Linked DNA regions of Danio rerio. The protein of the gene in region 1 purifies or fractionates together with the protein of each later gene. This does not show direct contact. Links are inferred from orthologs where the notes say so. Each region holds a gene or a part of one and is shown in the gene's direction. Other genes may lie near its edges.

Region 1 (4,527 bases):
CAGGGTGAGCAAATAATGACAATCATACATTTGCAAATCAGCCCCACACAACATATAATAAACCATTAAGAATGTGTTGCTAATTTTACAAAAACCTGTTCGGTTTGCCATAATACACGGATACTGTACCTAGTAACATATTAGATTCTTTGAACAATAAATAAGTGAATATGGCATATGTAAGACTTGTTTTTTTTTTTTTTTTTACATGCTTGTGGTGGTAGGTAAATGGAGAATATACCTAATGCATGGTTTGTCTTTTACACATATTGACAAGATTGACAAGTAAACAATATTAAAAACATGATTTTCTCCAAAGAAGGGTCTTAACAGATGCTAAGAGTGAGGCTGTTTTTGATGGCCTTGCTGGTTTTGTGTGCAGGAGGAGACTTTTATCAACAGAGTAGAAGTAAAAGTAAAAATTCCTGAAGAATTAAAACCATGGCTGGTTGATGACTGGGACCTGATTACGAGACAGAAGCAGGTAAATAAAGCCTCATTTCATTCTTAGCGTAATCCAATTCCTGCTTTCCTCCTTTATTGAATATATTGATAATATGGAATGACAGACCAAAAAAAGGGGGATGGCTCTAGGGATGCAAAGATACACGGATTTCACTATTAACCGCGATTTAATTCATCACTGTTAATTAATCGTAAAGGCTTTTTAACACCGTGTGTCTGCATGGAACAAAACTGCTGTAACTAAACAAGGATATGCCAACTGTGCCCTAGTTTAAAGTTCTGAGCCTTTACACAGGTGAATACCCGCACACACTAAATTAAAGGTTGATTTTAACTATGGCTGAGGCTATTAACTAAGGAATGTAACACATCCCTTCTTTTGCGCACACAAGTTTGTTATTTCCAATAGAGTTATTTAAGGGTCCTTTTCAGATGCAACTAGTTGAAAGAATGCTGCAAGTGCATCGCGAGTCACGAGACTAAAACTGACCGCTCAGCTTCATACTTTTGTATTTTTTTTTTCTTTGGAGTAGAAATACAAAGGAAAATAGGCTACCAAACAATTTTGTAATGTGGTTGATCAAATGTACTTTTTCGACAGTGGTCCAGCAGTCTTTGACTACATTTGTTTGGGAAATTCTTAGCTAATATATAGCTTAGATTTTTTTTAGAGAAATACTGTTTTTGTTTATTTATTCATTTATTCGTTGTTCTGTCATTTATTTTCAGTGTAAAATTATTACTTGTATCCAAACGACAAAAACATGATTCACTTATTTATAAGTCCAAAGAGAAATAGACTATTGTTTGTTTTTTATTATTAGTTTGTGCTGTGTTAGATGGATACTGAGCAGCAATAAATAACACTTTAAGGAGTGTTCATAAGAAACTAGTATTGTTTTGGAATTAATGAATAATGCATAATAATCGTGATAACCGTGTGATAATTCCTCAGACTAGAATCGTACAACCAAAATCTATAATCGTTGCATCCTTAGATGGCACTGTATAGTCAATTTATTTGTTAAAATCCGTATTTAAAACCTTAAAATGACATTTAAATCAAATATTTTAAAGATGCTTTAATTTAAAATGTAGGCTTATTTATATCTGCTGAAGCATCATTTCTCATTTCTATGTATTTTAACTTGACAAACTACAATAACTACAATTTAAATGGGAAAACATGAGGTAATGGTATAAATCAGGCATATGATGAAGTTTTTTAACTGTGTGTTTGCCAGAATTTTGAAAATTGGTCATAGAATTATATTTTGAGTTTTAAAATGTACTTTGCGTGGAAAATACATTTTGTTTATTAAATTTTTTTGTGTTTTGTTTAGCTTTTTCACTTGCCTGCAAAAAAGAATGTGGATGCTGTCCTGGAGGACTATGCAAATTACAAGAAATCAAGAGGAAACTCTGATAACAAGTGTGTTTGTATACCATCGTCTTATCCAGTGTAATCAGCTAAGAAGTTATTATATGTAGTAACTAATTTCTTACATTTGTTATGTTATATTTATCAGTTTTTGGAGAGACACTCATACTGTATGCTTGATCCTTTCTCAGGGAATACGCCGTGAACGAGGTGGTTGCTGGAATCCGAGAGTACTTCAACGTGATGTTGGGCACTCAGCTTCTCTACAAGTTTGAGAGGCCGCAGTATGCAGAGATCCTCGCAAACCATCCAGATACATCCATGTCTCAGATCTACGGAGCACCGCACTTGCTGAGACTTTTTGGTATGACTTTAAAAGCTATATTGTGTTTTGAAAGCTTACTAGCTGTATACCTGGTATTTTCCCAGGATGTTGCTAACAACCAAATAAATACAAATATGCAAAGAAAACAAATCTAATTGGTATACAAATGAAGTTATGTGTAATAAAATGAAATGATGCAGAGAAAAAGTATTGAACGCAATAAGGGAGGTGTAGAAAGGCAGTAAAAAATCTCTGAAATCTCTCTATAGTTATTCAGCAACCCACTGCCCTTCATCATTGTAGATTAAAATGTGTTTTGAAAGCTAGCTAACTGTATAGCAAAGTCCATTTCTAATATTTTACAGGACACTAAATGTTTAATTTGAGCTTTGAATTCTATAGTAGTTTTTTAAAGACTATAGTAGCCCGGTCCCATAATTTAATCCTCAAGGCTTAATCGAACCTCAAACGCAGCAATGAAGGTTTGAATGAGTTAAAAGAGCTAAAAAATTAGTGGTTGCATCAAAGAGAAGGTTTAGTTTTTCATCACTGGTAATTACATTCATGTTTAATTTTAGTAATTGATGATATGGTCTCTTTCATGTCTTTTGCCAGTGAGAATTGGAGCAATGCTGGCCTACACACCTCTGGATGAAAAGAGTCTAGCTCTGCTTCTCAGCTACCTGCAAGATTTTTTAAAGTAAGGAGAATTGATTTTAATTCTTCAATTGTGACATGGAAAAATTCAGCAGCTTTATGGGGCTGTTAGTGAGATAATGTTTGATGGTTATTTTCTCTGCCATTTTTAATGAAGCTGGGCTAATGTCAAGCAGTGCAGATCAAGAAGTGTGTGTATTTGTTTGTCTCTGTGAAATTTTGGTAGGGCAAGTCAAAATTTAAACCACTGACTTCACTGAGCCAGTTGAAAAATGCTTGACGTTATCTGGCCACTTTATTAGGTACACCTGTCCAACTGCACATTTACACAAATTTCCAATCACATGGCAGCAACTCAATGCATTTAGGCATGTAGACGTGGTCAAGACCTGCAGTTCAACCGAGCATCAGAATGGGAAAGAAAGGTGATTTAAGTGACTTTGAAAGTGGCATAGTTGTGCCAGATTGGCTGGTATGAGTATTTCAGAAACTGTTGATCTACTGGGATTTTCAAGCACAACCATCTCTAGGGTTTACTGAGAATGGTTCAAAAAAGAGAAAATATCCAGTGAGTGGCAGTTCTGTGGGCACAAATGCTTTGCTGAGGGCGGAGGTCAGAGGAGAATGGCCAGACAGGTTCTAGCTGATCGAAAGGCAACAGTAACTCTAACCACTTGTTACAACTGATGCAGAAGAGCATCTCTGCATACAAAACATGTCAAACCACACCGGGTACAGGAGGACCAGACTGGTTGCCACTCTGTGAGGTAAGAACAGGAAACTGATGCTACAATTCCCACAGGCTCACCAAAATTGACCAACAGAAGATTGGAAAAACATTGTCTGGTCTGATGAGTCTTGATTTCTGCTGTAACATTCGGATGGTAGGGTCAGAATTTGGCATCGACAACAGGAAAGCATGGATCCATCCTGCCTTTTATCAATGATTCAGGCTGGTGGTGTAATGGTGTGGGGGATATTTTCTTGGCACACTTTGGGCCCATTAGTACCAATTGAGCATCGCGTCGGCGCCACAGCCAACCTGAGTATTGTTGCTGACCATGTCCATCCCTTTATAACTACAGTATACCCATCTTCTGAGGATGACGTGCCATGTCATAAAGTGCAAATTATCTCAGACTAATTTCTTGAACATGACAATGAGTTCACAAATCGCCTCCACAGTCGCCAGTTCTCAATCCGATAAAGCATCCATGGGATGTGGTGGAACGGGAGTTTAACATCATGGATGGCAACTGACAAATCTGCAGCAACTCTGTGATGCTATCATGTCAATATGGACCAAAATCTCAGAGGAATATTTCCAGTACCTTGTTGAATCTATGCCACAAAGGATTAAGGCAGTTCTGACGGCAAACTGGTAAGCACCTAGTAAGGTGTACCTAATAAAGTGGCCGGTGAGTGTATACACTATGATTTAACTTAAACGGTTTGTTAATTAAAATATGTGAATTTTTCATTGAAAGTATGCTACTGTTAAGTGTTTAAGTAAAATTAAATGAATTCCTTTAAATAGAATAGGACTAAACAATGAATAAATAGTATAAAAAGATTATTCGAATCTCAAAACGAAAATGAATGCTAAACAGGTGAATAATTAATCTGATATTCTGGTCCAGCCTTAATACTTCCACATAATGTCAAATATGGTGTTGAAAATCAATATATTTCTAAGGTA
Region 2 (5,287 bases), on another chromosome or scaffold:
ATAGGTTCAAATAAGCTTTGAGGTCTGTGCTGACGTTTGTATATAATTGTAATTTGTGTGGACTAGAGTAGATCATACGTGTATTGTAGCAGTTTCTGTGACATTAATGTGAATCCAGACCATATTTACACTGAGTTGTTCATCCCTCTAGGCTGTATAGCCCACTATGCACCATTCCGGAGTTGAAATCCTACTTACCTGTATGCTGACTGTGTAGGCGTGTGTAAAAGACATTTTCTACCTTGGGGCATAGAAAAGTTATTGAATATGCACACAGAACGTTTCAACATCCTGGCTTTTTGGGTTTGCTCCCTGCACTGTTACTGCAGCACTCCATTACATTTTCTCATGTATGCAGGTGTTCAGGCAAACCCATGGTATAAATGCTTAATTCCATGTGAATAAATGACCAATTGCAGCTGTGTCTTGTGGAGGACGGGATGATTCGCATCCTGAAAAGCATTGGATTGGTCAGAAAACCTGATGAGAAGATGTGTGTGTGATGTCATAAAAAACTGAGAGTGACACACTGTATTTTTTAATGCTCACATCTTCCAAATGTTAATTTTGACTTGGAGCTCACAATCTTATAGATGACCTAAAATATAAAATAAATAAAAAATTTCAGGGGGATTTAAAGTGAATTATTAACTTAGAACACAGACTTGAGAAACACGATTATTTAAATAATAAAAGTGGAGTTTAGATCAACTTTCCATTACATTTCCTCATATATCCAAGTGTTTAGGCAAAGCTTGGAATAATTAGTAAAGCAAACCTTGGTATAAATGCTTATTTACATGTGAATAAATGACCAATTGTTATGGGGAGTGGGATTGCTCCACTGAAGAGCATTTGATGGTCAGAAAATCTGATGAGAAGATTGAGTCATAATAAAGTGAAAGGGATAAACTGATTTTGTGAATGCTTACTTGTATCTTCGAAATGTCGTTTTGGAGGTCACACTCTTATAGATAACCTTAAGATACAAACCCCTTCAAAATGATTTCAGGGGAACTTTAAACTGAAAGATTAATCCAAAACACAGATTCGATAAAAAAACAAAAAACAAAAACAACACATAGTTAATTTGATGATAAACAGTGGGCAGTTCAGATCAACACTCCATTACATTTTCTCATATATGCAAGTGTTCAGTCAAACCCTTGGTATGAATGCTTAATTCCATGTGAATAGATGACCAATTCCAGCTGTGTCTAGTGGGGGGCGGGATGCTTCGTATCCTGAGGAGCATTTGAGATGATGAGAAGATGTGTGTGTGGTGATGTCAAAAAAACAGTGAAATGCTCACATCTTCCAAATGTAAAGTTTGACTTCCTTTTGGAGCTCACAATCTTATAGATTACCGAAAATAAACAATTAAATTTTTTTTAGGGGGATTTAAAGTAAATGATTAACTTAAAACACACATTTGAGAAGCACTGCTAATTAGATATTAAACGTTAAGGAGTTTAGATCAACTTTCCATGAAAATTCTTCATAAATCCAAGTGTTTAGACAAACCTTGGTATAATTGTTATAGCAAACCTTGGTATAAATGCTTAATTACATGCGAATAAATGACCAATTGTTTCGGGGAGTGGGAATGCTTCACTGAAGGGCATTTGATGGTCAGATAATCTGATGAGAAGATGAAGTGCATCGTGATGTCATAAAAAAGTGAAAGTGATAAACTGCAATTTTAAAATCTGACTTTTCTATCTTCCAAATGTGATTTTTGACTCCTTTTTGGAGCTCACAATCTTACAGATAATCTGAAACAAAAACTTAAAATGATTTCAGGGGGCTTTAAAGTGAATCATTAATTTAAAACATATTCAGCTCCTCTCCTAATGATTCTGCTCACTCACACGGTTACACAACCCGCCTCACGGCTACGATTCCCACGGGAGTCTCGATATTTCACTGTGGGTAAACACTGCCACGAGCGTGCGACAACACGAGCCCCCTTTTGAGGAGTCATAGCCTACATTTTCTTTTAACGAACCAACATTTTTCAGAATTAGGTAACGTTACAGAGTGTGTGCTCGTTCGTTGTATATTTATATCATGGACCATAATAAAAAACATTACTCCCTAGATTTAGTCAAAAGTGTGTAAGTGAATTTCTAGGAGAAAGTGCCTAACAGCCGTCGAGTCGACAACTGCCCTCTCCTCCCTCCCTCCTGGCCGTCCACTCCTCCTCCTCCTCCCGCTCCGCCTGTGAGAATGCCCGTGCTGTACTGACAGAAACGATACGGGCTAAGCAGACATGGAGGCCCGATTGACGAGAGAGGCCCGTTCCGACGAGCCAGAGCTTCACTAACTCGGACCCGGAGAGAATTTCGGGCGACATATCGGATTATCACGGGTAACGAGCGACGCACACGAGACAGGGGAGAGGTGGAAGAATTTGAGGGAGAGATCCATTTCGGGTCCCTCTGTTGATTCAACGCAGCAGCCGCCATTTTGTTGACAGTTCGTGTTTTTAATAACCCGTGCAGGGCTCATCCCGGAGAGCGTTAGATTTTTGCATTCCGCTTCTTTTGGTCCTTCCGAGGATATTTATGCTCATTTTTTGTTATTTTTTACTGAAGGCCTGATGGAGAAGGGGACGGTTTACTCATTCCCTTCGCACCAGCAGCGGTTGCTTCGTTACATTACTCGTATGGACAAATCGCGGGGGTTTTGCTAGCAATGCCAGCAAATGTGTCTTGACAGGACAGCTCAGTCGTTTCGTTAAGAGTGTGGGGTTGATAGTAGTGATTAGCGGGTGTGAATTCACTCGTATAGAGGGTTGTAAACAACACATAGACGTGAATTGGATGGCCGTTGACGTTGTGTACGTGTGGTTACAGCCTCGATGTTGAGCAAAACCAACTTACCTTGCTCCAGACATGTGTCTTTCAAAATTGCAATGGCAGCAAGGTATTTTGACGTCCCGCTGTAGTAACCCTTTCACTTGCTATTATTGTTTCACACAGACTGGGTTTGGACATATTTAGTAGTGTCCTGAGGTTGAGCTCAATATATATGCTCTTCGCTAACGAGCTATGCTAGCTAACGTTATATTAGGATCATAAACCGTGACCAGTGCGCCTCACGTAGATAAATATCGTTACTTGCGGGGTGACTGGATCAACAGACTAACGTTAGGCTAATGTTTTGTTATGTCATACATTGGTTGGAATGTTCTTACGAGAAACGTGACGCCTTTTTCCCTCTTGCTTTTTTTGGGTACATCAGCAATTTCAAGATAAATATCCGAGCGACCATGCTGGGAGGATTTTGACCGCAAATTATGTGAACGCCGTTCTAGCTCGCTAAGGTAAGTTCTTCATACTTTATTCTGCATTTAGACTTCAAATGTGCTATAAATGCTCTGTAATCTAGATGTTTGTGTATTCTTTGAGTACATTTGTTCGAACTAGAAAGGGAAAACGCAGTATTTTGATGCATGACATGCGCGTAACGCTTTGTTTGTTTGTTATTGCTAAACGTAATGCGGCTTGGAAAGTGTTACGGTGTTCATTCATTCAGAAGTTATGATCAGCGAGCCTTAAGTGTTCATAAAAAAGGCTTAATTCATAGAAACGAACCTTCAGTGGCACCTGCCAGTAGATCATCCTCAGTTAACCTCGTTCACAATAGGGTTCATTGCACGTGCAAATTGCGCGCGCCTTTGCCTGGTTATAGTTTTTCCCCATTGGAGCAGATGTCTGAGAAGTGGAGGAAAGTGTAGAAAGTGGTGTCTGGAGCCCTTGAGCAACCTTTGACCTCTGACTCCGCTGTCAAGGAAACCAGAAGCTTCCCGCTGACTGAGAGCTGTTTGAGTGGATAGCAGTGATTTCAGGCATTTATTTGTGGTCGGGGAAGATTTGAAATATAAGTGCAGATTAATAGCAGATCCCAATGCTTTTGCCGGCAACATTACGTTAGCCAGTTTAGTTTTGTTTTGTGGTGCTTTGTGTTTCTATTTGATGCAAAGTTGCGAGGCGTAACATAGATTAAAGTGCACCAATGATGAAAGTCAACTTTTGGAAGTTTTTTGGACAGAACTGTGTGTATGTATAGTGTTGACAGTCATATTGGAGTGCTATAAACCCAACAAGTCTCTTTTTTATTTACTGACGTTAAATTCGGAGCCAAATCCCAGTGATTTTGATGCCCACTGCAACGTGATGTAGGAGTCCGGTTTTCCCCGCCCACCAAATTGATTGACAGACGCCATGTATCGATAATAACATGTACACACGTCCACAGAACATTTTTTTTTGCAAAAAAAACTGATTAAAACATTTGTTAGGCATGAGATGATAACCGTTTTCAAGCTATAACGCGGTTTGGAAAAGTCAAGGTTTTATAATCGTCGAAATTTTCTACCAATCCTAGGGTATGTGTAAGATTTTTTATTTACATTTTTTTTTTTTTTTTTTTTTAGGACAACAGTATCTCCAGCAGAAAATATATCCAAAAATGCCATTTTAAATTGTAAAAAAAACAGTGTTTTTGAAACAAATGAAGACAGCAGAAGTCAATGATTCATTTGAATTATTTAGCCTGACATGTTTACTTCTCCAAAATATTTAAAATATTTCTCAAAATAAAATGTATTGTGTTCAAAGTGGAACAACGTCTTTGTTTTTTACCCAGACATTGAAAAAATATTTTTATATTATAGAGCAGTAATCACAATACCATGAAACCGTGATATTTTTATTCAAGCCCTGCTGAAAAATCCAGCTTAAACCAGCCTAGGCTGGTTGGCTGGTTTTAGCTGGTCAATCAGGCTGGTTTTAGAGGGGTTTTGGCCACTTCCAGGCTGGTTTCCAGCCATTTCCAGCCTGGTTTTAGCTGGTCAGGCTGGAAAATGACCAGCTAAATCCAGCTAAAACCAGCTTGACCAGCCTAGCCAGGTTGGGAGCCCAGCCAAAACCAGCTATGTCCAGCTATGTCCAGCTTAAACCAGGCTAGTCAAGCAAAAAAAAAATTCTGTGGACGTGTGTACATGTTATTATCGATACATGGCGTCTGTCAATCAATTTGGTGGGCGGGGAAAACCGGACTCCTACATCACGTTGCAGTGGGCATCAAAATCACTGGGATTTGGCTCCGAATTTAACGTCAGTAAATAAAAAAGAGACTTGTTGGGTTTATAGCACTCCGCCAAAACCCCTCTAAAACCAGCCTGGTCGACCAGCTAAAACCAGCCAACCAGCCTAGGCTGGTTTAAGCTGGATTTTTTAGCAGGGAGGTTATCATACCGTCAGAATCTTATACCGGCCCA

What was found.
Region 2: the proteins of morf4l1 (region 1) and ash1l purify together in Homo sapiens (affinity purification with mass spectrometry; 4 studies listed by BioGRID and IntAct, counting the BioPlex papers as one, with this or other methods). This does not show direct contact. The link is inferred for Danio rerio from reciprocal best matches to the Homo sapiens genes MORF4L1 and ASH1L.

What each region holds. Positions count from the first base shown.
Region 1 is NC_133193.1:21,428,270-21,432,796, forward strand, and holds part of morf4l1 (mortality factor 4-like protein 1), read left to right. Parts: intron 1-382; coding exon 383-484; intron 485-1,808; coding exon 1,809-1,897; intron 1,898-2,037; coding exon 2,038-2,210; intron 2,211-2,786; coding exon 2,787-2,871; intron 2,872-4,527. UniProt on the Homo sapiens protein: Component of the NuA4 histone acetyltransferase (HAT) complex which is involved in transcriptional activation of select genes principally by acetylation of nucleosomal histones H4 and H2A.
Region 2 is NC_133194.1:10,090,967-10,096,253, forward strand, and holds the start of ash1l (histone-lysine N-methyltransferase ASH1L), read left to right. Parts: upstream 1-2,242; 5' UTR 2,243-2,371; exon of another isoform or gene 2,372-2,928; intron 2,929-3,246; 5' UTR 3,247-3,328; intron 3,329-5,287. UniProt on the Homo sapiens protein: Histone methyltransferase specifically trimethylating 'Lys-36' of histone H3 forming H3K36me3. Also monomethylates 'Lys-9' of histone H3 (H3K9me1) in vitro. The physiological significance of the H3K9me1 activity is unclear.